Pelodiscus sinensis: one gene and its partners. The protein of the gene in region 4 purifies or fractionates together with the protein of the main gene of each other region. This does not show direct contact. Links are inferred from orthologs where the notes say so. Each region holds a gene or a part of one and is shown on either strand. Other genes may lie near its edges.

The links.
Region 1: the proteins of PHB1 (region 4) and SLC25A5 purify together in Homo sapiens (affinity purification with mass spectrometry; 3 studies listed by BioGRID and IntAct, with this or other methods). This does not show direct contact. The link is inferred for Pelodiscus sinensis from reciprocal best matches to the Homo sapiens genes PHB1 and SLC25A5.
Region 2: the proteins of PHB1 (region 4) and NDUFS2 purify together in Homo sapiens (affinity purification with mass spectrometry; 3 studies listed by BioGRID and IntAct, with this or other methods). This does not show direct contact. The link is inferred for Pelodiscus sinensis from reciprocal best matches to the Homo sapiens genes PHB1 and NDUFS2.
Region 3: the proteins of PHB1 (region 4) and EMC2 purify together in Homo sapiens (affinity purification with mass spectrometry; 3 studies listed by BioGRID and IntAct, with this or other methods). This does not show direct contact. The link is inferred for Pelodiscus sinensis from reciprocal best matches to the Homo sapiens genes PHB1 and EMC2.

The regions. Positions count from the first base shown.
Region 1 is NC_134723.1:34,222,773-34,230,662, forward strand, and holds the start of SLC25A5 (ADP/ATP translocase 2), read right to left. Parts: upstream 3,012-7,890; 5' UTR 2,904-3,011; coding exon 2,793-2,903; intron 855-2,792; coding exon 368-854; intron 228-367; coding exon 87-227; intron 1-86. Other genes in the region: SLC25A43 (solute carrier family 25 member 43), read right to left, coding at 7,064-7,267.
Region 2 is NC_134734.1:13,655,977-13,663,839, forward strand, and holds the start of NDUFS2 (NADH dehydrogenase [ubiquinone] iron-sulfur protein 2, mitochondrial), read left to right. Parts: upstream 1-4,855; 5' UTR 4,856-4,940; coding exon 4,941-5,017; intron 5,018-6,784; coding exon 6,785-6,891; intron 6,892-7,863. UniProt on the Homo sapiens protein: Core subunit of the mitochondrial membrane respiratory chain NADH dehydrogenase (Complex I) which catalyzes electron transfer from NADH through the respiratory chain, using ubiquinone as an electron acceptor. Essential for the catalytic activity of complex I.
Region 3 is NC_134712.1:29,928,606-29,936,155, forward strand, and holds the start of EMC2 (ER membrane protein complex subunit 2), read right to left. Parts: upstream 3,008-7,550; 5' UTR 2,718-3,007; coding exon 2,609-2,717; intron 2,070-2,608; coding exon 1,956-2,069; intron 1-1,955. UniProt on the Homo sapiens protein: Part of the endoplasmic reticulum membrane protein complex (EMC) that enables the energy-independent insertion into endoplasmic reticulum membranes of newly synthesized membrane proteins.
Region 4 is NC_134739.1:14,661,961-14,669,702, forward strand, and holds the start of PHB1 (prohibitin 1), read right to left. Parts: upstream 3,001-7,742; 5' UTR 2,846-3,000; intron 1,101-2,845; 5' UTR 1,071-1,100; coding exon 983-1,070; intron 1-982.

The DNA of each region.
Region 1 (7,890 bases), on a different chromosome or scaffold from region 4:
TGCACCCATCTTGCATCTCTGGATATAGAGGTGTTTCTTTGAGAATGCCCACCCCATTATATTCTAGTTGGGAATTAGAAACCTACTTCCTTTACGCCCTGACTGCATCATCATCCGACGGCGGACAGTATCAAATGGATAGGAAGTCAAACCCGCAACAGCGGTAACCGTCTGAGCAATCATCCAGCTGATGATGATGTGGGTGTTCTTTGGGTCAGGAAGCATTCCTATGGGAGGGAAGAGAGCAGATTAAGAACACCAAATCATTGTATGTTAACACCAAAGTAAATAATTTTTCTGCATTACAATCCAGTGTTTGGCCTAAAAGTCTGTGCTGCATTTTAGGAAGTTAACTCAAAAGACCTACCCTTAGCAGTGTCATAGATGCCAAAATAGGCTGCTCTGTAGATAATGATGCCCTGCACGGACACATTGAAGCCTTGGTACAGGCCCTTAAGACCATCAGACCTGAAAATCTTGACTAGGCAGTCACCAAGACCGTTGAATTCTCTGTCTGCTCCAGCTTTACCCACATCAGCTGCCAGACGAGTACGGGCAAAGTCAAGAGGGTAGACAAAACAGAGAGATGTAGCACCAGCAGCACCACCAGAGGCCAGGTTGCCGGCAAAGTAACGCCAGAACTGGGTTCTTTTATCGACGCCACCCAGGAAGACCTGCTTGTATTTGTCTTTGAAAGCAAAGTTGAGGGCCTGAGTAGGGAAGTATCTGATCACATTAGCCAGGTTGCCACGCCAGAAGGACAGGAAACCCTGCTCTTTGGGGATACGGACAACACAGTCCATGATGCCTTTGTATTGCTTGTCTACTGTAATCTGTTTGCTTGCATGCTGCACCTGTAGAACAGAGAAACAAGCTAGATTAACATCTCACCATGCTGATAAAATTACAAGCCTGAAGATCTGGATTTATGAAGTTTTCATGATTTTTATTAGTTAGAAATGCATAATTCAAACTGCATTTGACAATTAAGCCTCTGATTCCAGGGTCTGGATAGACACACTGAAAGCCTGTTATGAAATAAAATGAGTATGGTTTTATGAAGATAAATTACTAGTAAACAAGAATGAATATAAGATTAAGTGTGGGTCACTTAAATTTGGTTAAGACTCAAGATAGAGGTTTTTTTAAACTTTGATTGTTATGACTAGGTGCGGAAGGATTACATTTACAAAGATAAGCAATGTAAGAAAAATGCCATTTGAAATCTCATTTTGAGATACAAATTGCAAAGTATCTTCAAGGAAACATCAGTGTTCATGATAAGGCTTTTACTTTCTGAATCTGACTACTGTCATTAAGTAAGTGTGTGACCTATAATTTCCTTGCAATGGTGCAAACTTAAATTGATAAAATAAAAATGCTTATGATCAATATTGTCCCTCAAAAAAAAAAATCAAAGTTTGCCAAGCCTCATCATAAAAGTGTCATTAAGCATCCTAGGCTGCCTCAGTGAGAACTGTCACTGTCCTCTAGCAGATGTCAGTGCAATAGATTCTTGGAATGGATAGAAAGGCTGAGTGCTGAATTCCAAGGTGATCACCTACTATTCCTTTGACCCAGAAACAGGAAGTGCTCTTATCTTAGGGTGGAGTGTTAATAAAGCCCTTTCTGGTTCCATTTAGTTCTGCAAGGATTTTCCGGAGCAACCCTCCTCAGAACACTCCCAGAGGTGAAAGTCAGCCGGTGACGAACTTTTTTTTTTTTTTTAAATAATTGCTTGGCAGCAAGAAGGCGCACACCTACTGGGCGACAGCCAAAAGAACGTCTTTAGAGTAGAATTACATCCCATCTTTTTTCAAAAGCAAAATATGCGTTGCCACATCGTATTTGTTCCCTATTCTCCAAGAGGCAGCAGTCTGCCTGATCAGAACTGCGCCCTGTAGAGAGCAAAGCCAAGGTAGCAGCGTGTCTTTATCTTTTGGGAGGAGTTGGGCCTGGAAGGTCACCGGGCCGCTCTATGGCTTTCCTCGGGCTAGATATTGCGTCGGCCTGCCTCTGCCTGCTGGTTTTAGCGCACGACGCATGGAAGCGGTGCCTAGCTGCGGGTCCGAGCGCCCCGCGAGATCCCGCAGCGCCGGGGGAAGTGGCTCCAGCCTGCAGGGAAGCGCCGGGGAGGAGGCTGCTGCAAACCTCGCTCCACGCCGAGCCGGGCCCGGCACCGCTTTGCGTAAGCGGAACTAGCTGGAGCCGATCGCTGCCGGCGGGTGGTTTCCGGCTCTGGCCAGGGCCCCCCGCGGGGCAGGAGCCGGGACTCCAGCTTGAGGCCGGGAAACGCGCCCGGGGCCGGGGACCCAGCCGCCCGCACAGGAGCGGGCCCAGGGGACCGTCTCCTCGGGCAGGGCCAGGCCGGGACCGGGCGGGACCAGCGGAGCCTCGCCCCAGGCACAGCCCTGCTGCCGGGGGCAGCGCCGGCAGCGGAGACCCGTCTCCCCTCCCCAGGCCGGGCGGCTGCTGCCCCGGGATGCTCGGGCCTGGCCTCTCCTTGGAGCGACCTTGGGGAGGGATCAGCGCCGCGGCATCGCCTTGGCCCGCGGATGCACCACGCGGCCGCGGCCCAGCGCCAGACAAAGCTGCAGCCAGCGGCGGGGCCGGCCTCTCCCCGCGCCCAGGGCGCTCGGAACCCCCCTCGGGGCGATCCCCGGGTGGGAGTCGCTGCACTCCCCGGCCAGCCCCGGGGCATTAGCCCTCCCCGACCCATCAGCGCTGCCCTCCTGCCCGGGGATGCCTTCCAGGGAGCGGGGCACCCCCCAGCCGGACGCCCCCCAACCCACCTGCAGCAGCAGCTTCACCCGCTCGATGGGCGCGACGGCTGTTTTGGAGATGGCTGCGGCCACCCCCCCGGCTAAGAAATCCTTGGCGAAGGACACGGCGGCGTCAGCCATGGCGAGGGGCGGCGGGAAGGTCAATAAGTTAGAACCGGGGAGCGAGAGGCTGCTGCGGAGGCCGCTGCTGATGGGGACCCGCGGGCTCTGAGGCCGGGCGGCTGCAAATGGCGGGTTTATATACCGCCCGCAGGCTGCAGCGAGCGGGGGTGAGGCTCACGGAGCCACGCACGGCAGCTTCCCACCCCGCCCATTGGCTGCGAGCAGGAGGGCTGGGCCGGGGAGGGACCGGCTGGGAGTGGGGGGGGGGGGAAGCTTGGGCGCCCCCCCACACCTGACGCTGTTGGGAGCGCCAGTGACCAGGTGGGGTCTCCATCATCCCAGGGCGAGGCTGGGCTCCGTGCCCTTGGCTGGGCGCAGGAGGAGGAGCAGGGAGCGGGCAGGGTTTGCAGGGAAGGGGGCTGCTTTGGGTTTCAGCGCGTGACGCCAAGCGGGAGTGTTCCTAGGCAACCCCCGGGAAATACAGAGCGCAGCGCATCTCCAAAGCCTCTGCCTGCCCCGACACCATTGCCATGGAAACAGGGTTGGGCGCCCCCGCCCGAACTCAGCATCAGGCCTGAGTCACTCATCACAGGCGCCCGGGGGCAGAGGAGGTGGAGGTGGGAGTCGCGGAGCCCGAGGCGCACCTGTGGTGGGGAAGGCTGCTCAGAGCCCTGGCTGCAACAGAGCTGTGGGCTAACCCAGTGCTGAACTCAAAGGCGGCTTCTGAAAGAGTCTGTCAGGGCACAGCTACTCTACTGGACAAAGTCCAATTAAGCGCCGTAACGTCAGCTACATTCACTGCATAGCTGAGGTCCAAGGAGCTTAACTGGGCTTTTGGTGCTGTCCACACAGCAGAAAGTCAAAGGAAGAGCACTCTGCCTTCAGCTTCCCTTGCTCCTCCTGTAATGAGGGTGACCAGCGTCCACAGGAGTGCCCCTCTCAGTGCAAATGAGCTGTCTTAACTGCTAATTCAAATCCTGGAAGATCGACAGCAACTTCCATCTTCCTCTGCAGTGGAGATGTACCCTCAGTGCCTGGACCAAGTCTGTCATTGCCCAGCAGTGGACTGTCACTTACTTCAACAGACAGAAAAAATCTCTGTTTGTTAAATATTTCAATAAACCTTCCTCTTCACCAGCCTACCTACTTCAATCCCACCTCAGTTTCTAGGCGGTAGGGTAGGGCCAGAGAGATATAACTTTAAATCTTAGATCCTGTGATGGTCTGCCTCCTGATTATTTTTTTCAGCCTTTTGTCCCATTTTCTTTTTCAGACCTGTACACAGGGAGTGAAGGGTGAGAAAGCACCCCCCATAGTCTTTCAAGTCAGCATGCTCTGGCTAGCCAAGAGAAAGCAGGAACAGCATGCTGCTGGATCCTCCCTCCCATGCTCTGGCTGGCAGGGGGAAGGCTAGGGCTGAATTGCCCGCTCACTTGGGGGAGCATTCACAGCCTTGTGGTTCACATTTACAAAAAAAGCCCCCCCCCCCCCCCCCGCGCACACACAGAAATTCCTGCATACAGGTCTGTTTTTGTTACATCACATTCAAGCCATAAGGCAGCCATAGTGGGTCAAACCAAAGATCCATCTAGCAGTATCCTTTCAGTGGCCCTTAAGTACAGGCCACAGGCTGCAGTGAGCAGAGGTGAGGCTCACCGAGCCACAAATGGCAGCTTCCCACCCTGCCCATTAGCTCCAAGGCTTGGCTGGCTTATACATAGTGATTGAATTCAATCTCTTAAGGTTAAGAATTCCTAAAAAAAAAGCAAGGTTAGTCTGCAGAAGAGAGAGTGTATGTGTGTGTGTGGGGGGGGGGGGCCTTGGGCAGTGGGGCCTTGGGTAGCAGGCCCTCAGTGCCACCTGAAAGGCAGTGTGCCCCTCCTCCACCCTCAATGCTACCCAGAGTGCACTGCACCATGTCCTAGCAGCAATTTAAAGGGCCCTGGGCTCCAACAGTAGTGGCAGCAAGGCCTAGGCCCTTTTGTATTGCCAGGTCCCAGGGCAATTTCCTCCTCTCCCCCATCAGCAGGCCTGAAGGTAGCAGAACCCATCAAAAACAATTGGGATGGAACAGTCCTAGGACCTAGCTAAGTCTGCCAAGTAGGTCAACACACCATTCATAAAAAGTATGAGAGACTAGTCTATCTTGGTTAACTTAGGCCACTTTTCTAGGTGCAGCCCTTAAAGTTTGATAATTTACTCTGCTTCTTGATTCATCTGTTAGAAACTGCACACCTAAAAGGTATCAAAACTATTCCCGTTCTAAGATGAAGGAGCACAGTGTGCTGGACTCAAGAATTGGGAAGCAAGAAAGGACAAATTATGTTCCCAGCCTTTCCCCTGCCTTGGTGTACAGGCTGAACCTTTCTGGATCAAATTTCAGCTCTAGTGGAAGCAGAAGCAACTGCAGTTAAAAGCATCAGCTGACACCAGGGCTGAACTGGGGCAGACACACATACCATTTGTTAAATGGAACCCTTAATACTTCACTGTTACAGGGCTGCCGTAAGACTTTGCTCACCATTGTCAAGTGTTCCAGAATAGAAGGTTGCGGTTATTCTGGCTCTCAATGGCTTTACTCCTTACATCTAAGATTGAATTCAAACACCACTTTCTACCTCTTCGTATTTCCCCAGGTGAACCAAGGTTAATTTTCTGTCAGGGAGGATAACTCAGTGCCACTGACTATAGGTGCTGGAACTAGGGGAGTGGGGCAGGAAGGTGGGGGAGAGGGAGTGCTACAGCACCCTTGGCTTGAAGTGGTTTTCAGTAGGGTTTCCAGTTTGGTTCAACAGCTCTCAGCCCCCTTACTATAAAAATTGTTCCAGCACCCCTACCTCTGACTAGCCTTTGCCTTCTAGTGCAGTGTGTGGCACTTGGGCTATGACGGCACAGGGAATCAGTGTCAGATGTGACTGAGTGTCACAATGCCACCTGGAGAAACTTTACACTTACCTGGAAGAATCACGATTCCAGCAACCATTTCTTACTGATCTGAGGGCCAGTCCCTGAATGACATTTATCTAAGCTAGGGATAAACTAGTCCACACACTGTAGCTCTCCTTACTGTTTAACATCCCCTCTTCGGAAAAGCATGACAATACATTGACTTGTAGGTCACAGCACTTAAAGGGGACCACCACAGTGACTGTAAGGAGATGGGAAGGCTAGGTATTGCATAGTACTGTTCTAATCGAACCATAAAACTTTCATCTGTGAAAATTATTTTAATATAAAATACATCTTTAAAAATATCAATGTAAGGGTGTTAACACTTAATTATCTAACCCATTTGGCATCTGCATTTTTCACACTGTAGTAGGCATAGTCAGTCATAACAAAAATGAACATAACATATACACAGTTTTGTTTTTTCCCCAAAGCTGAAATAATTCAGATAATGGCAAAAATATACATGTGTGTGTGGGGGGGGGGGATTGGGGGGGGGAATCTCAGCTTGCATTTAGGACTATTAGAACATTTCAGTGCGGTTTCATATATTACTATTCTTTCTTGGCAAAAATACCTCTGTAGTATGTTTTCATTTTTCTTTGCAACTGAGCACTGAGAAAATTATTCAGTTCTCAAATCTTACAAAAGCTGAAAACAAGAAGTACGATGACTAAGGCTAACAAAAGTGTTAACTGTCCGAGGACAAATACTGCATACCTAGAATGCCATGTCCATATTGCACTAGTGACAGATTTCAGTAAAAATACTTATATACAGTATATATTTTAGTCTATTTTAAACCATGTATCTGTTCTGAAGGCCACGTGTTCAGTGTCCTCAAATGTTACAAATGTATTTATTTTAGAATCAATCCCAATTTATGATCATGGCTCACATCACTTATTCTTTACAAGTGGTTTTAGTATTAAAAAGCTATTTATCATTGAAAATATCCCCAAATTAGTTGATTTCAAGCTCCAGAATCATAATAGTTTCAAAATGTTTGTGTCCTTCTGATGAGCTTGAATTGAGTGTATCAATTCACTACATGGGTTACAAAGTTTATTAATGTTTGACACAAGAGTTTCAAACTCCGGGAAAGTCACAGTAAACCAGGTGCTGCTACCTCTAGTGCAATGCATCTTCCTTTCTGCCTTGCTTTCTTCAGGTTGTGGACTTGGCCAAGAATGACTGCAACATACATTTACTCAATGAGCTTTCCAACGTCAGTTTTCAAGAGTTGGCTTCGGCGGCTCAAAATTTCCTCTTCGGAGGAGTTTTAATTCTCGCAGCTCTTGTGGTTGTAAACTCTGATCCACTCCAGGAATTAGCTTGTAGCTTAAGGGAGATTCGATATAACCATTTCTGTAGAGACATACCCGCTTGCAGAATTCAAAGGTGCTAAACATAACACCATAGTATGGGACAATCTTAACAAAAAAAAAATTGAAATAAGTTAATTTAGAATCAATATCCACATTCTCTAAAAGCTAGGATTTATAAGACTTCATGAACAGATTTGACCTCATTGGCAATGCGGATTCGCACAGTTGGGAATCTGACCCTATACTAGTTGTATCATTCTACAGGTACCACTATGTTGAGACTTGGTTTATTACATGTACAGGTTGAACCTGAACCTCTCTAGTCTGGCAACATCTATGGTCTGGCATGATTTCAGTTAGCCTGATGTCCACTTATCATGAGTGCAACAAAGTTTCCTGCTGTCCCATAAAGTTTGTTTATAGCCACCAATTCTGGCACTCAATGTTCTGTGCTGTTGTTTAGCTCTAATTTACCCTTAAATGTCTTCTAAGAGCCCAGTAAGCAATGGAAGTGTTGGTAATGCTACTAGACTGGGGGTGGGAACCTTTCTTGTGTCAGGGGCTGCTGACTCACAGATAAGTCAGTCGGGGGCCACACACAAAGTGAGAAGCAAAAAAAATCCTGGGGGGAGGATCCCTGAGCCTTGGAGACTGGATCCAGGTAAGCCAGGGGCCACATCTGGCCCCTGGGCCTTAGATTCCCCACCCCTGTATTAGACAATATTGAC
Region 2 (7,863 bases), on a different chromosome or scaffold from region 4:
CTAGTTGCTGCCTACCCTGATCTCTCAAGATCCACCTGGTATTCATGTGTCCTTCCTAAAACCTCACACGGAGCGTGCGTCTCTCCCACCAACACATGCCCAAAGCCAAGAGGCATAGGTCATTCATGAGCACCACCCCGAGCAGCCGGGACCTGCAGTGCCCAGAGGGAAGCTTCGGGGAGGGGGTGATGACTAGCCTACGGGTCTAAAACCTGCATGGTCATGGGAATCACCGTACTCCAGTCCTCCCCCCGGCTGATCACAGACAGCAGCTGGAACCAGGGTCCAGGAAGGCCAACGAAGTAACCAACTCTGCTCTGATGGGAAGAGATCCAAGGCTCCGGATGGGGCTGCAGCCCCAATTTAAGCCACAGGTGGAAACAAGAATCTGATTGTGGGACTGGGCTTCACCCTGCCGCGGACCCCTGGTCTGTCTCTGGTGCCTGGCTCCTGACCTCCTAGTACCTTGACTCAACCCGATTCTTGATCCCTGCCCTCTGGTTTCTCTCTTGATTCTCATCTCCTGGCGTTCCAGCTTGGCCTTATTCCTTTTGGTAATTAGTTTACCAAAACAGAGCATCCTTCTCCCTGCCTAAGGTCTCCAGACCTGTTCTCCATCCCGGCACACGCCAGCCCGCTGGCTCACCCTACCCAGCAGAGAGGGTTCAGACAAGACAGGCCCATGCAGCCGTGGTTCCAAGCCCCAGGTCTGTCTGCGCTAGTAACATAAGCCCAGAGCTGGGACAGCTGCCTAGAGAAGTCTGAGCCAAACATGAGGAATATCTTTGCTAGGGGAAAGAAACCAAACCCACATTCAAGAGCTCAGCTTCTTTGGCTTGAGCTTCCCAGCCATCTCCCCCTCGTGAAACCCGAGAGATTCTGTCTTTGGCTCAGCTCTGGCTAGCCACCCTCCATCTCTGCAACGTGCAGAAATGTGACAGCAAGAGATAAGCCCTGGAATACCTTCAGCACAGGCCCAGGCGCAAATGGGCCTTCAGCCACACTGGAGACAGGATGTGAAGTCTCTGTTTTCTACCCAGCGTACATGGTGATCTGATCCCTTAGCTCCAGGCATGTGAGAAAGCAGGGACGAGACAGACACCGGAGCCAGGACTGGGAGCTCCTGCTGCAGCTGGGTGGGACAGAAAGCAGGAGCTTTCTTGGGCAGGGAGACTGGCGCCAGACTGACCTGGGATGGAGTCGGGATAGAGCAAACCCTGGGCGGATTCTAGTGCCGTCTATACTGGGGTTAGGTCGACTTAACAACATTGCTCAGGGCTGTGGATTTTCCCCCCAGGGATGTAGCTGGGTCAACCTAATAGTTTTGTGTAGACCAGGCTGCAGCAACTGTCGGTAAGAGCTGATCTCACCCGCCCTGGTAGGACACAAGGACTGCATCAAGACTGGCAAGTTTTTCCACAAAAGCAGCTAATTTTGCGGAAAAACTTGCCAGCTGTCTACACTGGTCGCTTGAATTTCCGCAAGAACACTGATGATCTCATGTAAGATTGTCAGTGTTCTTGCGGAAATATTATGCTGCTCCTGTTCGGGCAAAAGCCCTCTTGCGTAAATGATTTTGCACAAGAGGGCCAGTGTAGACAACACAGTATTGTTTTGCGCAAAAAAGCCCCGATGGCGAAAATGGCGATCGGGGCTTTCTTGCGCAAAACCGCGTCTAGATTGGCACGGATGCTTTTCCGCAAAAAGTGCTTTTGCGGAAAAGCATCCGTGCCAATCTAGACGCTCTTTTCCGCAAATGCTTTTAACGGAAAAACTTTTCAGTTAAAAGCATTTGCGGAAAATCATGCCAGTGTAGACGTAGCCAAGGAGTGGGGGCAGGTTCGGATGACACCTGCTTATAGCCAGGGGTTGTGGCCAGCTGAGCACAGCTCCCTCTCCTGCTTAGCAGGCATGCAAACAGCTCCTCTGGTTTCACTACTGCCGAGGGGGCCTGCCAAGCCCTTTGCAAATTCTCCGTGAGTTCCCACGCCCCGCAGCGAGGAGGGGCACTGAAATTAAATCCCAGGCCACGCGGAACGCCACCAATTCTAGATTCAGCCATGAGGCTCCCCGGCTCCTCTGGGGGTGTCGGCAGCTCCAGAGCAAAGCGGATTTGTCAGGTGGGACTAGGCTTGATTGGGTGCTTCCCCCAGAGGCAGCTGAGGCCAGCAGTCCGGGTGTGAACTCAGAGGCAGCCCAGTGGTGAGGTTAAAGGATGAACGGGCACAGCGCCCCTGCTAAGGCACAGCAGATAGGAACTCCCAGTGAAGAGCAGACTGCACCTTTTTGGGCTGGGGCTGCCACCCCGATATTGCCCAGCACAGCGGTGTCTGGATGCACGGTGGGCTTGAGTTGGGGGAAAGGCTCCCAGTGCAAGCAGGAGCCCTGGAGCATGGGCAGCCAGCCACCCTACCATACTTGGGGATGAGACTCCCTGCAGGGCCTGGTCACTGGTGCTAAATTGAGCGGCAGCCACAGAGGATGTGCAAGGAAGGAAAAAGCAGAGGCAGCTGCTTCCCCTTCAGGCTGGGTCATCTGAGGCTGCCCGTGGGATTGTCCAACCAGCAGCCCCAGCTCTTCCGGCATCCTACAGGAAAGCCAGACAGCAAAGACCATCCCATCCCCTGGCCATCTCTGCTCCTCTGGGCAGGGGAGCCAGCCCCTGTCAGCAAGACCTGGGTTAGAGGGACAGGAGGACAGCGGGTGGCTGAGGATGCTAGCTAGTGCCGTGTCTGTCCCAGCAGCACATGGGATATCAGCCCTTGGAGAGCAGAGCCCCACAAACCACAGCCCAGGCCCCATCCCTGTCCTCCCCCACATTAGGAATGTCTGTGAGGGATGAAGCCACAGCCCAGAGGGGGAGGGCAGAGGGCCTGTCTGGCACCGGTGGCTAAGGATGGGGAGTAAAGATTTCCACTGACTCACCGCAGCCTCCCCACAACACAAGCTGCACCCTCAGCACCCCACCACAGTACAGCCGGACGGCCCCGCTACAGGCTTCTACAGAGTCAGACATATGTGTCACAACCTCCCAGCACACACAGCCCCACCACAAAGGGACACACACCAGCTCAAATGACACGCACAACACCCTGCCTGCAGATGTGCACAACCCCCGTCGCGTACAGACACAACCTACACACACGGCCCTGAGTCTGTAAATATGCACAGCCCCCCTCCTCAACACAATCTACATACGCAGGCGCACACTCCCCCCCCAATTCACACACAGCCCCTCACAAAGCAGCTCCCCAAGCAGCTTCCCCCAAAATGCTAGTTCCAGCACACTTGGCCCCTTGTCTCATAACAGGAAGAGACCTGCACCCCTCAGATCTCAATGCTCGAGCTGAGCAGAAGCATATGCCGGCTGCCGGCCCTGCCACGCCACAGGGCACAGGGCAGGCGCTGTTATGCCTGGGCTAAGGGGTCTCAGGGCAAGTGCTGAGCGGCCAAGCTAAAAGGCTGCAGGGCACAGGGCAGGCATGACACTCCCAGGGGACCTAGCTAGCTAAGGACAAAGGCTGGGTGCTGGAGTCATGGGATTCTGAGCCTGAAGGTCTGCTCCAGGAGCCCCCTTGTGGCTCTCATTTTCTGCAGCAGTGAATTCCCAGCCGCTGGCTGAAGAACCCAAGTGGAGCGACTTTTTCCTTCCCCAAGGCCTTCCAGCTCTGGCTCCCAAGCATCCTCATTGACCCTCAGAAGAGCGCCACTGCGGGGGCCTGGCTGCTTCCCAGCATGGTGTGTCAGAGGCTGCCTGCGCTGTTCCCACTGGCCAAAGCAGAGTCAGAGCTGAGCTCTCCAGCAAGGCAGCAGGTCTGAGCGGGGTGTGGGCTTGTCCTGTTGCCGATCTCCCGGACATCCGCAGCTGGTGACACGGCCGGTTCCAGCCCTTTGGCCTCCCATTCAGGGCTGTCCAAGCAGCTGCCTAAGTCTCTTCCTCTCAGCTGCTTATCCTGGATTTTACCCCAAAGGCAGAGCTTTGGCTTAGTGCCCAGCGGGGTCCCAGCTCGGTCCCACTGCACTCCACAGCCCCAGCCCAGTGCCCCAGGGTGGCAGCAGCCCAGTTGCCATAATCATGGTAGATAATCTTGGCTCCACAGGGACAGACATGACGCTGAGGTGCTGCCCACCTTAGCAGACGGCCCAGTAGTCTGCCTGTTGGAGTGACAGCCCCAGGAGCAGGAGCCAGGCTCTAGCAGAATAAGACCCAGGGTTGCGTTGCCAAACCTCGCGGCCAGCTGCAGGCAGCAGGAACCGGCTGACAAGGATCCCTGGGAATCCCACCAGCCCCAGGTCCTGCTCCTCCCTCTCTGCATGCCCAGCCTTGCACTGAGCAGCCCCGGCTCTGCTGTTGCTGTTCGCCAGAGGGCCTGGCTGCTCCCTGCGCAGCCCCGTGCTGCGGGGTGTCCCAGACCCCAGCACTGCAGGCGGCTCAGGGACAGGGCTGGAAGCCAAGGGTGCATGCGGGAGGGAGGCAGGGGAACTACGTTCCGTTCCCTGGAAGTTGCACAGGCTTAGGAGGGCGGGGGGGGGGGCAATGAGAGGGGACCCAAAATCTGCCTCATTGAGCGCCCAGCTCTGGGGAGCTGCGGGTGAGGGGCTGGGCCCAGCCTGTGGCTGCCCAGGCCCTGCACTTGGGAGCCAGTCCCACGAAAGGATCCCGTGGGGCACAGAGCAGAGAGCCAGGCCAGCCCAGCTGCCCTCATCCATCATGGCACCCTGCTGCTTCGCCAGCACCGGCCGGGCAGGGAGCCTGCCCGCACTAAACATGGCGGCCTCTACGCCGCGGCGCCGGCGCGTTGCCCCCGCCTTTGCTCACACGCCTCCTTTGCCCTCACTTAATATGGCGGCTCCCCGCCAGCTTTCCCTACGGGGCTGAAGCTGCCCGGGGGCGGTGGCGGGGTACTTCCGGCCCGGCTCGCCGCGGCGCCGCTGGGAAGATGGCGGCGCTCAGGGCTCTGCGGAGGCTGCGGGCACCTTCAGGGTCATGGCTCCGGCTGGGGGCAGCGCCGAGCAGGTGAGACCCCCCCCTCCCCGGCGTTTCTCCCCCCTCCCCCTTCGGCCCCGCTCCCCATTTCCCCGCCCCCTTTTCCGTTGGAATCTCCCCCTCCCCCCCCCTTTCCCGGTATCTCCTCTCCCTCCACGCCCCCCCCCGGGCACCCTTTTCCCTGGCATCTGCCCCCACCCCCTTCTCCTGCCCCAGCGCTTCCTCTCTGGCACCCCCCAGCTCCCCCTGCCCTCCAGGCATCCGCCTCCGTCTTCTGACCCCCAGCACCGTTCCCGCCTCCCCAGGCGTCTCCCCCTAGGCTCCTGGGATCCCTCCTCTTGTCCTCCCGTCCCCCCTCCCTGCACCTCCCCCGGGTCTGCCCCTGTCCCCCAGGGATCCTGTGTCCTGCGGGGTGTCTCTTCCCAATCTCCTGGGCATTGTTCTCTCCCCCTTTCGGGTCCCCGTCTTCCGTGGGACGTTCCCCGCCCTCCCCAGATAAACCTTCCTCCACTTCTTTGGTACCTCTCCCTTGCCTCTTGAGACCACCCATTTTCTTGGGGGTCATTCTTGTGCCTCCTGAGCATTGTCATCCGCTGCGCTCCCTGGGGACCCTTCCTCCTTCCCCCAAGGTATTACCAACCCACCTGGGAGGCCTATTTTTTCCCCCCCTCTCATAGACTTTAAGGTCAGAAGGGACCATTATGATCATCTAGTCTGATCCCCTGCACAGTGCAGGCCACAGAATCTCACCCACCCCTCTTAGAATAATCCTCTCACCTATATCTCAGATATTGAAGCCTTCAAATACTTTGATGGCCCCAAGATGCAGAGAATCCTCCAGCTGTGATCTGTGCCCCATGCTACAGAGGAAGGCAAAAATCCTCCAGGGTCTCTGCCAATCTACCCTGGAGGAAAATTCCTTCCCGACCCCAAATATGGCGATCAGCTAAACCCTGAGCATGTGGGCAAGACTCACCAGCCAGACACCCAGAGATCCCAGCGCATGCCATGAGGCTGTTCCATTATTACTCTTGTGGCAGTGAGCAGGCCCCGGAAACTTACCTCCTGCAGAAACCAAATTGGCTGTAGATGTTGAGTGTAGCCCATGTGCCTGACTAGTTCCCATCACTGGGTGGCTCCGGGGGTGGGGTGGGGGGGCTGTCATACAACCCCCTGCCTTGTGGGGCCAGATGTAGGTGGTGCCCTTGTGCCAGAGTGGGCATACTGTACATTGGGCATCCCTCAGATGTCCTTGCTAATGGCCATTGATCTGGGGACTAGCTAGCTCAGACACTTTGAATGAAGCCTTGCTCTCCAAGGTTACCAGTTTGAATCCTGCCAGCATAAGTCTGGGCTTTGGTGGTTTTGGAAACTAGATGAGTGGCTGTCTTGCTCACAGTGCATGACTGTCCATTGCAAAAGTCACCACCACATGGACGCTAACGGACCCTTTGGCAGAGAGGGATTGATGGGGCTATTACACCTGAACTCCCTTCGTCCTTAGACGAGCCCCACTCGATCAGGCTTGAGGGTGGATGGTAGGGAGCCAGGTGTTGAAGCTAGTACTGCTGCTCCCCAAACTAGGGAGAAGTAGGCTCCACGGCTGCCAAACCTCATGCTTCCCATGATCAAGCTCTCCCGTACAAGGCACAGTTTCACTTTCAGTCCCCTTTGTTTCCCATCCTTCCCCACTTGCCTGGCAACAACCCCTTTAAAAGCCTACAGAGTCTGAGACTAGAGACAGGCAGATTGAATGAAGTTGTCAGTTTGACCCCCTTTCCTTCTCTCCACGTCTAGAGGCGCCAAGCAATGGCAGCCGGATGTCGAGTATGCCCAGCAGTTTGCAGGTGCAGTCATGTACCCCACCAAGGAGACAGAGAAATGGGTGGCTCCTCCCTGGAATGGTGAGTTCTGCCGGAGGCAGCTGCCCCATTAAATGCACCATTGTATTGGCGGTTTGTCACATTTTAAGTTCAGAGCCAAACTCACCATGGGGGGCTGGAAGGGGGTAGCCCCACCTCTGTGAACGTTGCTGGACTTACAGTGGAGTAGCCCACTTGGTCCTGATCCTGGTGTGACCTCTGTGTAGATGCACCCCTGCGTCTTCATGAAGCACATTGCAGAACCAGATCCCAGCGGAAAAAACAATAGTGGGAAAACATGTGGTCAGCTTGGGGAGATCTTCCTTAGTTGAAGGTGATGTGGTTTTTTTTAAAAGATTTCTTTTAATAGGCACCTCTCTTTTTATAGAAGCGATTCCTTGGTTTTTATTTTAATGTAAATGGAAACAGGGTTTTGGATTTGAAACTTCTCTTTGCTGCATTAGAATCCCAAACACAACTGCTTTGGGCATGAAACAATGATGGCAACAGGTGTGCTAGCACTAGCTATCACCTTGCGTTAGAGCGGGGTGGGGAACCTTTTTTGCATTGGGGCCAATGACCCACAGAAAAATCAGTCGGGGGCTGCACACCAGTGAGAAGCAACATGTAAAGGTCCTGAGCGAGAAGGAAAAACACACTCCTCACATTCCCCTCCCACACCAGAGCCTAGGGGCCCCAGGCTAGTAGATTTTCTGTGCACCATCCCTGTGGGTGGCAAGGGGGCTGGAGCACCATCGTGGGCTCCCCGATTCAGGGGGGATCCCTAAGTCTTGGGGGCCGGATCCAGGCAAGCTGGAGACCACATCTGGGCCTGAGGCTCCCCACTCCATGTTAAAGAGAGCTTCAGGTTAGTCTGTTTTAACACAGCCAGACACTGTGAGACGTCTCTGCTGTGCGAGACGTTTTTAAGACATTGTGGCTACGTCTACACTGGCCCCTCTTCCGGAAGGGGCATGTAAATTTCAAGAGTCGTCGTAGGGAAATCCGCGGGGG
Region 3 (7,550 bases), on a different chromosome or scaffold from region 4:
ACGGCACAAGCAACCGTTTAGGACCCGCGCTCCCCCTGCAGCACGTACCGCAGCACCCAAATGGCCACTTGCTCCCCCGCGGCGGCCTAGCTGAGTGTAGCAGAAGTCAGTCGAGTGCCATGGCAGGAGGCGAAGAGCGCGACTCAGGCAAAAGAGCCGCCCAGAGGGAGCAGCCAGCATTTCAGCGTTAGAGTCACAGACATTGGGCTACTATATGATTCTTGTCATTAAATATTTTGTTTTTTCTACTGCTCTTACATAAAAAGTGATATTGCATTGTTATTCCTGAACAACTCCCTTTTGCCAAGTTTCTGTCCAGAAAGACATAGTGTCATAAAAATTCTCTGGAAATAGCCATTCTGTAATACAGAATATATTACAGAAACCCAGACATGACTAAACTATAGCATCACAAATACAATAGCATCACAAATACAATTCTGTCATAAGAACAGTTTTCACATTAAGTTCTACAACATAATATTACTTACGGCTTAGTTAAAGATATAACATTTCCTTATCCTTATTAAAAAACCCTCCCCTTATAATTTTTCCCATTCCTCGGAAGTGAAGATAACCTGTTGAATGATACCTAAATAATACAATCTCAGCCAAATGTTCACAATATATTCTTATGACTTGCCAATGTGTACCCATCCTAAGGGCCGAACCATAGGTAATGGAACTATGAAAGGATGTGGATGCATTGGAAAGGGTCCAACAGAGGGCGACCAAAATGATTAGAGGGCTGGAGAACATTACCTATGAGGAGCGACTGAGAGATTTCGGTTTGTGTAGTCTTCAGAAGAGAAAGAGTGAGGAGGAATTTAATAGCAGCCTTCAACTTCCTGAAGGGAGGATCCAAAGAGGATGGAGAAAGGCTGTTCATAGTAGTGACGGATGGCAGAACAAGGGGCAGTGGTCTCAAGTTACAGTGGGGGAGGTCTAGTTTGGAAATTAGGAAAAGCTATTTCACTAGAAGAGTGGTGAAGTGCTGGGATGGGTTACTTAGGGAGGTGGTGGAATCTCCATCCCTAGAGGTTTTTAAGTCTTGGCTTGACAAAGCCCTGGCTGGGTTGATTTAGTTGGGCAGATGGCTGGACTTAATGACCTCCTGAGGTCTCTTCCAGCTCTATGATTCTATGAATGCTGCAGCACCCCAACATACCATTTATATACAGGATTTAGAGATTGGCTCAATAGCTCTCAGTACCCTCACTATAAAAATTGTTCCAGTTGAGGGATATAGCGATTTGTCAATTATCCAATAAGCATAAGCTTATTGGATAGTCAATTAGTGATGTGATTAGTTGTTTTCCCCCCACTTGCTGCCTTTATCAGAAAAAGGCAGCAAAGGGGAGAGCAGGTGCTGGAGGGAAGCCAGCTTTAAATCTGGTTCCCCCCAGCACCAACTCCACAGAGGGCAGGAGAGGTAGAGGCACAGTTGGAAACGGGGCAAGCTGGGACTAAAGCAGTCTCGGCTCATGCAGGATCTGCTCCGATTCTCGTTCTGAAATCTACAAGAGCCCTGGCACGGCTTTTGTACATTTCAAAAGCAGAAGCCCTGCAAGGGTTCTTGTACACTTCAAAGGCTCAGGCACTGCAGGGAGCTTGGAGCAAATATGGGAGTTCCCCACTGGCCCCACACTCTCTGCAGGACTTCTGCTTTTGAAATGAAATGAAATGAAATGAAATGAAATGAAATGAAATGAAAGGCTCAGGCACCGCAGGGAGCGTGAGGCCAGTACCCCTCTGGCTCCATGCTCCCTGATGGGCTTCTACTTTTGAACTGTAGCAAGAGCCTGACAGAGCTCTTGCTATAGTTCAAAGGTGGCGGCGCACTTACTGACTAATTAAATAGTCAATGGAAATCTCATTGATTATTTGATTAGTTAATCTATATTAAACATCCCTATTCCAATTACAGTGAAACTTTTGAAATAATTTCAACCTACTGTCATCCCCAAGCTTGGATGCATATTCGTTAATTAATTCTCCTCCAACTTCCACTATCTGTTCACTGTTCCGATAGTTTTCTTCCCTCCACTTCCTCATTTTATCACGCATCTCTGAAAAACAAAATATAAGGTTATCATGCAATAATGTAATATGAAGTCTATTTCTGAACTGACTTTTAATCTAATCTCAACCATGTTCAAGAGATACACATATGCAATTTCTACTAATAACAAAGCTGCTTGGGGATAGAGCGATCCCTGGAACTTTGACCTTGTTACCTTACCGCCATTATGGAGACTACTTAAAAGCAGGGAGTGAACATGTGAGGGGGGGGGGGGGGAAAATCTACTGAATTTGTGGTTTCAGAGGCTATTAGGTGAATAATCTAAATTGTCAGATGTAAAACAGGCTCCGTGAGAATAGATTCAGCTCAGAGCATTGTCAATTCATGTCCTTTAAGATCCAGTGTTGATCAGTTTAGTATCAAACTGTTAACGTATGTAGGGCTTTAAACAAAACGAAGCCTACACAAATCTTAAAAACTGAGGTCCTCCCCAACTGGAGATGACAACAAGTTGAAGATCTTATTAAATCTTACTAAGGATTTACATTAGTATTTATTCTGAGTCATCAATTACCCTCTCTCTACCTTGGCTGCCGCTTGTCCCTCTGGCTGTCACGCTTTCTGACTCTGAGTGAGTTATAGTTGAGTGAATCTGTATAAATATACTTTGGAGGGCATTCAGATTCTCCTGCATGGAAATCTGTACTATACAAGATATTTCTCATCATCAATACTGGGAAGGAAGGAGACTCCGTGGAGGGTGGACAAAGAAAAACAGAACATGTGACATTTCATTTTGAACTTAGCTATAAAACAAAGCTTTATCATACTAACAAGAAAAACAGACCTCCTATTTTCAAACCTGTGATTGGTATCTACAACATAACTTTTTCTGTTAACTTTCCAAGTAATTTTCAGCATCCTCAGGATCTATAGCTTTCCTTTAACCAATAGGTCTTGCTATCTGTTTTTCAATTTGACCTTTCAGTTGCAATGATAAAAATCTAATCGAAACTAGTATTTTATGGTAATGTATGATTATATGAAATGATTTAATAATAATAAAAAAAAACCAACTTTCCTCAAATGCTGACTTCCAGATTGAGACAATTCACTTGTACTATTAAAATTAAATCAGACAAGAACGTTGTATAAATGTATATATTTTAGACTTTTTACTGGACATATTTTCTAGACAAAGCAATTTAACTTTATAAACATGGCATCATCCTCTGCACAGACAATTTTTAGACTAAAATTCTTATTGATGTTTTATTTATCATATGTGCAAGCCACCACCAAAACTGTTCTTTAATATAACAGCTCTATGGGAATAAATTTGATTTTGGAAGAGGTCAGCAATAATATAAAAATGCAACTGATAAATATGAGACATTTTTAAAGCAAAAATAAATAACTGCTATAAAATTCCATTCTAGGAATGTTCTGTGTGTTGCCATAATGATATGCAGCTTGAAAGGAGGCATGAGAATAAAGACTTTCTTTGTGAAACAGTAAGTGGGTCCTATATGTGAAAATTACCAAAGGAAACCACTTCATATATCAGTAAGATAGAAAGGACACCAAGGCTGTGTCCAGACTCAGGTGTTTTTTCGAAAAAAGTAGCCTTTTTTGAAAAAACTTCACCTGCGTCTAGACTGCAGCCGCGTTTTCGAAATTAAATCGAAAGAACGTGGCTTTTCTTTCGACGGCGGTAAACCTCATTTCACGAGGAAGAACGCCTTTTTCGAAAGTGCTCTTTTGAAAAAAGGTGTTCTTGAAAGCAAACAGGGCTTTTTAGAAAGAGAGCATCCAGACTCACTTGCTCTCTTTCGAAAAAGCGGCTTGCTTTTTCGAAAGTTCCGCGTGCAGTCTAAACGCTCTCTTTCGAAAGAGGCTTTTTCAAAAGTATCTTTTGAAAAAGCCTCTTTCGAAAGAGGCTTGCGGTCTAGACATAGCCCAAGCTTTCAATTTTAAAATTTCGAAAGAGCATTTACTATGGATCCAATCTTAAAAAGTTCCAGACCTGATCCTAAGGTCAACTGTAGTAGGGCATATTCACCATCACACAGCAAAGGTGAATGTAGACAGTTTTCTTGCATTTCAAAATACACAATAAAATTTGACAGTTTAAAAGTAAACACAGACCCTTTTCCATCTACCAGAAGGGATCTCATTTCTTTCATAAAACTGTACTGTGCCACATTTTGTATTATGAAAGTCAACCATAACTACTACATAGGTCAAATTAAATGCTTCTTCACAAACTAATTTGTTCTTGACACAACAATCAGTGGCAATTTAAACATTAGACAGCAAGAATGTATCACACAAATTGACTGTGTAAATATACATAAAATAAATAAGTCATCTAGTTTTCACAAATTCATTTGCTTGACAACTACTAAAGCCTCCATAACAGTATAACTTTCAAATGTAATACTGTCTAAGCTATTAACAACATTCATGTCAATCATTTATCACCAAAGTAGGCTTTTCAATGATTGGAAAAAAGCAAAACACAGAACATGCTGTATCCGTTGACCACTGAAAGTGAGAAAACAAGTACAAATAAATGTTCTAGTATAAATACAATGAAAGATATGTTAGTTAGATTATAAAGTGCTGGATTATGAACAGAAGGCAGAAAATAAATGTTGGTAACATCCTAAGCAGACTCATTTGGGGGAGGGGAGGAGTGTTAAGAAACATCAATTGTGTCAATCGGGCTACATTTTTAAGGAAAGTACATCTGTACAGTGTAACAAGGGGCTGAGCAGTAGCAGTGCTGGACTCTGGCAGTGGTTTGGGGAGGTTATATTTATGTCACTAGGTCTATAAATTGATCTAAAAGAACTGATGGGCTTGTTCATTTTAGTGTAGTTTAAAACAGCAGGTGACTCCCGGCCTGAGGTCTGCCACCAGCACCTGGCACCAGGGGGGTCCACCCTCTGCTCACAGAGGGCCATGAGTGAGAGGCTACTCCCAAGCACTGGTTAACTGGCAGCCAATAAGCACCAACTGGGAAGGATGATGCTTATCAAATTGCTGGTTACCCATTCACATCCCTAATCCAAACTTCTGACTAGCAGTCTTCACAAGAAAGAAAATCCTCATCTATAATGAAGACCCGTGCTTTATCCATTGCTCCATGTTGCCACTGTGGCCACTCAACATCTGTGGTTAGCTAAGATAATGTTCAAGAACCTTACTTTTCTCTGTGGCAATGCCACTTACAGTTATTTCATAGGGTGAATAAAATAAAACTAAACATTGTTTTATGACAATAAATAAAAGATGCTTAGAAGGAATTTCAAACAGTTTACAAAGTATAACAAAAATATCCACAATCTTTTAATGTGAATCTGGAATATTAGGGCAAAGTCAGAATATAAAGGTAAAGAGAAAGCTAAATAATTATTTTTATACAGCCGCTCCCCGAGTTGCGAACAGTGGAGTTACGATTGTTCGCATTTACGCCCAAAGTTCCCATGGAGCAGTCATAAAGGAGGCCCTCGAGTTACGAACGCGACCCGCGCTTACGAACAGCGCAGTCGCGTGTAACTCAATGGGATCAGAGTTAGGAACAGATCAAGTTATGGCCAAGTGTTTGGTCCGTAACTCGGAGAGATGCTGTAGACAATAAATTTGAATCCAATTCTTAAGATGCATGAGGGGAGTAATTTTGTCTTCCATGACTGAAGCAGAATTTTCTGATCATTATTAACCTGGTTACTATTACAACTCCAGTTTGAAAGTTGTGTGCTAGGAATCAATTTGGGACTCTTAACTTCACTACAAATGAAGTTGCCCCATTTATAAATTTGCAAGTCTTCCATATATTGTGTTTTTAATGTTAATGTTTTTAATGTTAATATATACGTTTTGGGGGGTTTTTTAAACAATTTTTCATTGTTTTAAAAAGATGTGGGCAGCATTCCTTATAAGCTATGCACTTGTGCCACCACTCAAGAAGGATTCAAATGCTGTACAGTTGATTAGCAGAGTGACCACTGTAAAGATGTTAAGTATCAAGTAATTAACTAATCGAATAGTCGATAGGGAGCCTCTGCCTTTGAAGTGTAGCAACAAAATGGAAAATGAAATTTAATGAGGATAAATGTAAAGTAATGCACATTGGAAAAAATAACCCCAACTATAAATATAATATGATGGCGGCTCATTTAGCTACAAGTAATCATGAAAGAGATCTTGGAGTCATCATGGATAGTTCTCTGAAGACATCCACGCAGTGTGCAGTGGCAGTCAAAAAAGCAAACAGGAGGTTAGGAATCATTAAAAAAGGGATAGAAAATAAGACTGAGAATATCTTATTGCCCTTATATAAATTCATGGTACGCCCACATCTTGAATACTGCATATAGATGTGGTCTCCTCATCTCAAAAAAGTTATACTGGCATTAAAAAAGGTTCAGAGAAGGGCAACTAAAATGATTAAGGGTTTGGAACGGGTCCCATATGGGAAGAGATTAAAGAGACAGGGACTTTTCAGCTTGGAAAAGAAGAGACTAAGGGGGGATATAATAGAGGTAATAAAATCATGAGTGGTGTGGAGAAGGTGAATAAGGAAAAGTTATTTACTTGTTCCCATAATATAAGAACTGGGGAGTTCCCAGCTGATCCTGGGCTCAAACTGGTGCTGCCTCTTTGAAATGCCATGAGGAGCCTGATGTCCAGCTGCCCGTAGCATTTCAAAGCAGCATTGCTGCAGAGCCCAGGGTCAGTGCCCAGCCGATCTCCAGCTGACCACGGGATCTGTGTGGTGCTGCCACTTTGAAATGCTGGGTGGAGCCTGATGCCGGGCTCACCATGGCATTTAAAGCGGCAGCGCCGCACAGAGCAGCTGAACCTGGGCTCAGTGCAGCACTGCCGCTTTGAAGTACCCTTCTGTTCTCTCCCCCTGTTGTTGTCTCTATCTGATAGAAGCAGGAAGTGGGGGAAGCTACAAGTTGATTAGTCCTTCAGATCCCTAGACCATAGCTAGATTTTTATTTCTATTTTATTTATGGTGGAGCGTATCTGCACATGCCTCAGTGCACAAAAAGAAATGTACTTCGCACATGGATGGAAAAAATCCGCACATGGATAGAAAAGATGGTTTGGGGGGGGGGGGATTTGCTAGCTTCTATTTTGATGAGACATATGTAACAAGATTCTATACAATTAATTATTGTTCACAACTGCTCAAGGGATTACTGGGCAAGCACATACTGATTTACTATTAAAATCAAGATATATTCTGAAGGATTATGGCTTCTTTCACGTGCCTTTCTGAGAGTGCAATGTCCTTCTGAAGCTGGTACCCACTGAAGAAAAAATATGCACTAAAATTCCCTAATAACAAATTCTCCCAGATGTGTTATTAATCAAGAGACGTAACTTTATTTTTAGCTGAGACTGAATTGATAATGCAATTCTGCTTGCCTGAGAATAAGAAAGAGTGGCAGAATCTTATTTACTTTGTATAACTTTGAGCCTTGACATGAAAACTAAATGTAACTTTACT
Region 4 (7,742 bases):
CAAGTCAGACAGTAGGAGAGCAACTGATAAAACAACTTCTGGCTCCTCAAATACTAACAGTTAAGAATGCCAGCCTTTTGCACCTATTTTGTGCTAGGGATGTTACGTTTTCATTAATCAACCGAGTAGTTGATGGAATTTCCATTGGCTGCAGGCGGCCCCCAACTTGGTTCCCAGGGAAGCGTCGCAAGTCGGGGGCATCATACGTCAAACCCTCATTTACGATAGGTGCCGTGTGCCGTCGTATATGCGGGCCGAGGACGTAAGTCAGGGGTTTTCAGCCCATTCTGCACTTACAAAAATGATTGTAAGTGCGGGGGGGGGGGGGGGGGTCGGAACTCAGGCGGGCGGAAGTCGGGGGTTTCCTGTACTCGATGTGGGGGGGAGGGGGGGCTCACTATACTGCTGCACCTCTCCCTTTGAAATGTACAAGAGGTGCGGGCTCGTTCAAAGGGAGAGGCGCAGCAGTAGGGACGCCTCTGCCTCCCCTGCCCCCTGCAGAGGCAGTACTAGGGAAACTGGCTTTTCAGCCGGCTCTCCCAGCACCAGCTCCTGCTCCCCCCCACCCCCCTTGCTGCCTGATAGAGGCAGCACCGGGGGGGAGGGGGCAGAGGGGTGAGCAGTAAGCTTATGTTTAATGGGTAGGCAACTAGTCACTTACATCCCTGTTTTATGGTGGTGTGAGTGACGACACAAGGAGCAGACCAACCAAGCCTGAAGGCCAATTAATTAGTTCTCCCCATCCTCACAGAGTAGCTGATCCTAACTATCCCAAGGCAAGTTTATAGTCTCTTAGAAATATCTCAGCTTCACCAATTCCTGGTAAAGAAATGTTAATTCAGCTCCATCCCAACCATTTTCAAAACACACTTCGGAATTAGAGCGGAGTCTACGGAGTCGGATGCCTTGAACGGGACACCCTACTTTGTGAAGCTGAACGTTTCAACAGAGCGGGAAGGGCTCTGCCTCGTCGGCGCCTCACCGTTATAGAGAGCGGAGTTGACAACGCCCCCTGCGATGGCTAATCCTAAACCAAATTTGCCAATGTTCTCAAAGAGTCTGGCAGCCATTTCTCAGTCCAACTGCAGCCTGAGTCACACCTGAAAAAAATCCAGGACACGTATTAGAAAGGTCCTGCTCCCAGAGCCCAGGTCTTCCTCCCTCTCTGTAGGATGGAACAATAAATAACCCCCATCCCCAGGGACAACAGGAAGAGCGGCAGGCCCCTGCCCAGGCAGATCTCGCCTCAAGCTCCCCTTCCTCAGCCCAGCACCTCACACCAGCCTCTCCCTGCAGCTCCCCTTATCTCTAGGCCCCAGACACCCAGACCTAGCAAAGGCTCCAGACCTCACTCCGTGTCCCGCAGCAGGGCAAGGCCCTGAAAGGCTCCTCGACTCCCAGCACCTCCCTTCCAGACAGCGCCATGGCTAGGGCACCCTCTGCTTCGTCCCCCGCCTCACCAGGCCCCCGAAAATCCCCCAGCCCAGCCCTCCACCCTCCTCCAGCCCTGCGCCCCCCTCCTTATAGCCCCCCAGACGTGCTCTCCAGCCCCCAGCCTTGTTTTCTGCTACCCCAGCCCTGCTGCCTAGCCCCCCGCCCCCCAACCTAACCCCCCCTCCCCCAGCCCTGCTGCCTAGCCCCCAGCCCCCCAACCTAACCCCCCCTCCCCCAGCCCTGCTGCCTAGCCCTCCGCCCCCCAACCTAACCCCCCCTCCCCCAGCCCTGCTGCCTAGCCCCCAGCCCCCCAACCTAACCCCCCCCTCCCCCAGCCCTGCTGCCTAGCCCTCCGCCCCCCAACCTAACCCCCCCACCCCCAGCCCTGCTGCCTAGCCCCCCGCCCCCCAACCTAACCCCCCCCACCCCCAGCCCTGCTGCCTAGCCCCCGCCCCCAACCTAACCCCCCCACCCCCAGCCCTGCTGCCTAGCCCCCAGCCCCCCAACCTAACCCCCCCACCCCCAGCCCTGCTGCCTAGCCCCCCGCCCCCAACCTAACCCCCCCACCCCCAGCCCTGCTGCCTAGCCCCCAGCCCCCCCAACCTAACCCCCCCACCCCCAGCCCTGCTGCCTAGCCCCCCGCCCCCAACCTAACCCCCCCACCCCCAGCCCTGCTGCCTAGCCCCCAGCCCCCCAACCTAACCCCCCCTCCCCAGCCCTGCTGCTAGCCCCCCGCCCCAACCTAACCCCCCCCACCCCAGCCCTGCTGCCTAGCCCCCCCGCCCCCTAACCTAACCCCCCCACCCAGCCCTGCTGCCTAGCCCCCAGCCCCCTAACCTAACCCCCCCAACCCCCAGCCCTGCTGCCTAGCCCCCCGCCCCCTAACCTAACCCCCCCACCCCCAGCCCTGCTGCCTAGCCCCCCGCCCCCTAACCTAACCCCCCCACCCAGCCCTGCTGCCTAGCCCCCCGCCCCCTAACCTAACCCCCCCGCCCCCAGCCCTGCTGCTAGCCCCCCGCCCCCCAACCTAACCCCCCCGCCCCCAGCCCTGCTGCCTAGCCCCCCGCCCCCAACCTAACCCCCCCGCCCCCAGCCCTGCTGCCTAGCCCCCCGCCCCCCAACCTAACCCCCCCGCCCCCAGCCCTGCTGCCTAGCCCTCCGCCCCCAACCTAACCCCCCCGCCCCCAGCCCTGCTGCCTAGCCCCCCGCCCCAACCTAACCCCCCGCCCCCAGCCCTGCTGCCTAGCCCCCCGCCCCCCAACCTAACCCCCCCGCCCCCCAGCCCTGCCGCCTAGCCCCCCGCCCCCCAACCTAACCCCCCCGCCCCCATCCTACCTCCCAGCCCCCCCGCCTTCCTAGTCCCCACAGCCTCCTCCAGCCCCCCCTCCCCCCGGTGGGCGGGGCGACTCACGCGCTCCGGTTCTGCCTCCCCCCGAGCGGGCCCGGACTCCTCGCGCTCCTGACCTCCACATGCAGGTTCCGGCCACCGCGCCTGCGCCCCGCGCCGCAAGCGCCGCGCTCATTGGCTCCCGCCCGCGGGCGCAAAGGCCCCTGGGATGCGTAGTTTCCCGGCCGCCCCCTGCTCGCCCTGCTCGCGCGGGGCGGGACTACCACGTCCGGCAGGCAGCGCCCGCCGAGCAACGGCTCTTCCCATTGGCTGCGGCCCTGCCGCCCCCGTCGCAGGGCGTCTCGGGAGTTGTAGTCCCGCCGCCGGGGCGAGGGGAAGCCACGTGCTGGAGGCGCTGGGCTCGGGGCTCCAGACAGCCCGTGTGAGACCCGTTCCTGCCCCGCCCCCTCCTCTGCTGGGGGGTCCCCCAAAGGGCCACGCCCCACCCCTCCCCCTCCCTCTGCTGGGGGTCCCCAAAGGGCCACGCCCCACCCCCTTCCCCTCCCCCTGCTGGGGGTCCCCCAAAGGGCCACGCCCCATCCCCTCCCCCTCCCTCTGCTGGGGGGTCCCCCCAAAGGGCCACGCCCCACCCCTCCCTCTGCTGGGGGGTCCCCCAAAGGCCACGCCCCACCCTCCCTCTGCTGGGGGTCCCCCAAAGGGCCACGCCCCATCCCTCCCCCTCCCTCTGCTGGGGGGTCCCCCAAAGGACCACGCCCCACCCCTCCCTCTGCTGGGGGGTCCCCCAAAGGGCCACGCCCCACCCCTCCCCTCCCTCTGCTGGGGGTCCCCAAAGGGCCACGCCCCACCCCTCCCCCTCCCTCTGCTGGGGGTCCCCAAAGGGCCACGCCCCACCCCTCCCCCTCCCTCTGTTGGGGGGTCCTCCAAAGGGCCACGCCCCTCCCCCTCCCTCTGCTGGGGGTCCCCAGAGGGGCCATGCCCCACCCCTCCCCCTCCTCTGCTGGGGGTCCCCAAAAGGGCCACGCCCCACCCCTCCCCTCCCTCTGCTGGGGGTCCCCAAAAGGGCCATGCCCCACCCCTCCCCCTCCCCCTCCCTCTGCTGGGGTCCCCAGAAGGGCCATGCCCCATCCCCTCCCCCTCCCTCTGCGTGGGTCCCAGAGGGGCCATGCCCCACCCCTCCCCCTCCGTCTGCTGGGGGTCCCCGCCCTCCCCCTCCCTCTGCTGGGGGTCCCCAGAAGGGCTATGCCCAATCCCTCCACACTTATCTCCCAGCGGCAGGGGAATGTTCCAAAGCACCATGACCCTCGCACAACCCAGATACTCTGCTGGGATGGGGGTTCCCCAAAATGACCTTGCTCCAACCCTGCAAACTTTTCTGCAGGGCAGGGGCTCCCTAAAAGGGCCATGCTCAACTTCCTCTCAACTTCTCTGCCTAGCAAGGGGCTCCCCACAAGGACTAGGCTCCAACCCCTATAAGCTAATACAGAAAAGCCCTCCAAAGAGCCTGAGAGCTTCTTTCCTGCAGAAAGTGATGTGCTCTGCTCCCACCAGAAAGTCTTTGCAGAGCCAAGCTGCCATCCGAAAGGACCATGCTCCTGCCCTCAAACACCTGTGCAAGGTAAGGAGAAATCGTCAAGTCCAGTGCACCAATGCCCCTCCACTCCCCAGCCTTTTGCAAGGCGGGACCTGGCATTGAATAAGCAGCTTCCTCCGCACAGGGGAGGCCGGGAAGAGACAGATGGGGCTTGGCGTTTGCTGACAGTGCGCGGGAGGGTCTCCAGCTAAACCCCTTTGAAGAAGAAAGGGGGCTAGTGCAGGGGGAGGGGGCTGAAACCAGGTTCAGCTGTGTCTGCATCAACTGTGTCTCCCGGTGTGATTGATCCAGCCTCACCACAGCCCTCTGAAATAGAGATCAGTTTACCAATGTTAAGGACGGGGGACCAAGCTCAGAGGAAGGTTAAGGGACTTGCCCAGGGTTGTAAAGCGCGTCAGCGGCGGAGTGAGGAGTAGCCCCTGGAGTTTTGATTCTTGGCTCCATACAGAGCACAGTCCCCCTGTCCTTAACCACGACCCAGGCCTGCCTCTTTTGAGAGGGGTCGTGCCTGTGGGTCTGCCTGTGCTAGGTCGCTGCGGTGCTGTAACAGAGAGGCTGCCTACGTCCACATAAGGGGGTTTCCAGCTCATCCACCTCCCCAAGGGGCAGTAGTGAACTCGACACAAAAACTCTTCCATCACCCCCGGGTTCCCACCTCGGGGGCTAGCTCGACCCAGGGCGCACAATTGTTCAGAGCCCCGAGGGGCCAAGCAAAGCGGGTCTGATTTGTACTGTAGGGGGCAGGTCCGGTCCCTCGTGTTCGGGGGTACAGAGGGCAGGCGGGAACTCCAAGCAACCTCTGAAAATGTTGCTCACCAAGGATTTCCAGGGCGCGCCGCCCGGTCAGTGAAAGCAGAGGGGACGGGGTGTGCGTCAGACGGACCAAAAAACCCCTCCCCTTGTCAAACCGCCCCAGTTTACAAAGCCCCGTTTGCTCCAGGCTGCTGTCCCGGGGCCTGTGCTCCCTACCCCGAACAGCCACGGGGAGGAGCCAAACCTCAGCCCAGGGAGCGTTTCCGAGCCCGCCGCTCTCCCAGCCTGTGCCAGGAAGGACAGAAAAGACGGATCGCACCCAGCTGAGACTGGCCCCATGCCCCGAGCAGAGCCCCCCTTCCTCCCGCCATGGCAGTAACTTGTCCCAGCCACTTCCCTCTGCGTGTTCTTCCTTCAGCTACTGCCCGGGGGGCTTCGCTAGGCGGCCGTGATTTGCGAGCCTGGCGCCCGGGTCCTGACATCCATCAGGTAGCGGATAAGCCGGGGCGGGAGGGAGCAGTTAGTGGCTGGGTGCCCCCCGCCGGGGGGCCTGCCCTGATTTACAAGCTCCGAAATGCGCCCTGCTTGCAGTAGGGGTCCAGCGGGGGCTTTGTCTTACTCTTAACCTGAAACACCTGTCGGCCGCTGCGGGGGGCCTGCGGGCGTCGCGTCCCGGCTCGGCGGCGTCCCGGCTCGGCGGTCATGCTGCGCAGTCCTCCCTCCCCGCGCCCGCCTGTAGCACGGGGCTGCAGCACATCCCGGGGCGGTTTGCAGCTGCGGGAGAGCGAAGCCTCATGAGCTTTCTCCTTGCCCACATGGTTCCCCTGCTGCGCACTAGGGAAACTGAGGCGCGGGCGGGGGAGGGGTTCTGCCAGCGAGGCGGGGAAGAGCAGGGTGCGCCCAGGAAGGGCAGGGCGGAAGGCTGCCGGGCGGCGCTTCAGTTCCCATCCGAGTTTGCTGGCTGGCAGGGGAGGAATTTGCGAGAGCTGCTGCCACCGCGGGTGGGGGAAGCCGCCTCCTCTAGCCAGTCCTGGCCACAGGAGAGCTCCGAGTGCCAGGCTGCCTCCAAACCTGGCTCCAGCCGCTGTCTCTGCCCCCCACCCGAGCGGCTCTGGGACCATGGGCCTCTGGCGCCTGCCGGCTGCGTCTCGGCGCTTCCTGGCTGGCTCCCTGGTGGGAAAGGCCGCGGCCACCCGAGACCCCTGCCGGCCCCCGTCTCCTAAGCAAGGCGGGCGTGAACCCCTGGCTCCTGGGGGCGCCCTAGCACGAGCAGCCCGGGTCTGGGCCCGAGGACCCTGCGGGGGCCGGGGCTGAGCCCCACGTCCCAGCCCTGCCGGTTTGCAGTGAGGACGCAGCTCCCCCGAGGCAGAAGGCCGGTGCGGCTGCGTTGGCGAGACCCGGCTCCGGGGGCTGCCAACCTGCCTGCAAGGTGCTGCGCCCTGGGGTGGGGGGCTGCGTAGACACCCCAGCGCAGGGAGGAAAGGTGGGGTCTGTGGGGTAACTGATTGAAGGGCGGGCGGGGGGTGGAGCTGGCCCCTGCTGCAGACAAGGGCTGCCCGGGCCCGCCAGGAATAGGGGCTGCTCTGGCCCAGGCTTAGCGGGGAACCAGCCAGTCGCCACGTCCCTGCTCCGAGCCGCAGCCCAGAAGCGGGTGCATGGCAGCGCCGGGGGACCGGGGAGGGTCCCTGCCCTGCTTGGCCCGGCGCTGGCCGGGTGTGGGGCCGGGCCTGGGTTTGTGCAGCCCCAGGCTTGGCAGGGGCCCGGGACCCACAGCGCCTGCGCGGCGCGGAGAAGAGGTGACGGGCAGGGAAGCAGCCTGCAGGGAGCCGGGAAGCCAAGGCAGCTCTGGCTCACTCGCAGGCCCTTCCCCGCCGGCCTGGCGCTGAGACTGGGGGCTGAGGGGGAGAGCCTGGCTCCCGGGAGCTGGTGAATAAAAGCGTTTTGCTGCCATGTGCCTCCTGGGGGCACCGCGCCAGGGTCCCACGCTTCCCCGCCCCGAGCCCGAGGGGCCAGCGGCTCCGCCATGCCCCCTCCCCGCCCCGGCAGGCGCTGGCCTCGTGGGCTCCTTGGTGTGGGGTGAGCGGCCGGCTCCTGCTTTGTGTCCCCGAACAAAAGTGCTGCGGCAGGGGCCTGGCGCGCGGGCGTGAAACCGAGCCGAGCCCGGCCGGAGGGAGCGAGGCCCGAGGGCCCGCAGGCCGGGCTGAGCCTCGGGGCGCGGTAATTACTCGTCAGACGTGCGGGGGCTCCCCACGGAGAGCAATGCACAGAACAGGGCCCGTGGCGCGAGGCTGAGGGCGGCCCAGCACCCCGGTGCATACACAGGCCGCTGGGTGGGGTGGGGTGGGGTGTGCGCAGCTGTGTGTGTGTGTGTGTGTCCACCGTGTGTTTGTGTGTGCCTGCGTGTGTCCAGCTTGTGTTTGTGTGTGCGTGTGTCCAGCGTGTGTGCGTGTGCGTGTCCAGCGGGTGTTTGTGTGTGCCTGCGTGTCCAGCGTGCGTGCGTGTGTCCAGCATATGTGTGTGTGCGTGTGTGTGTCCAGCGTGTATGTAGGTGTGCATGTTTGTGTCTAGCATGTGTGCGTGTGTCCAGCATGTGCATGTGCTTGTGTGTGTGCGTGT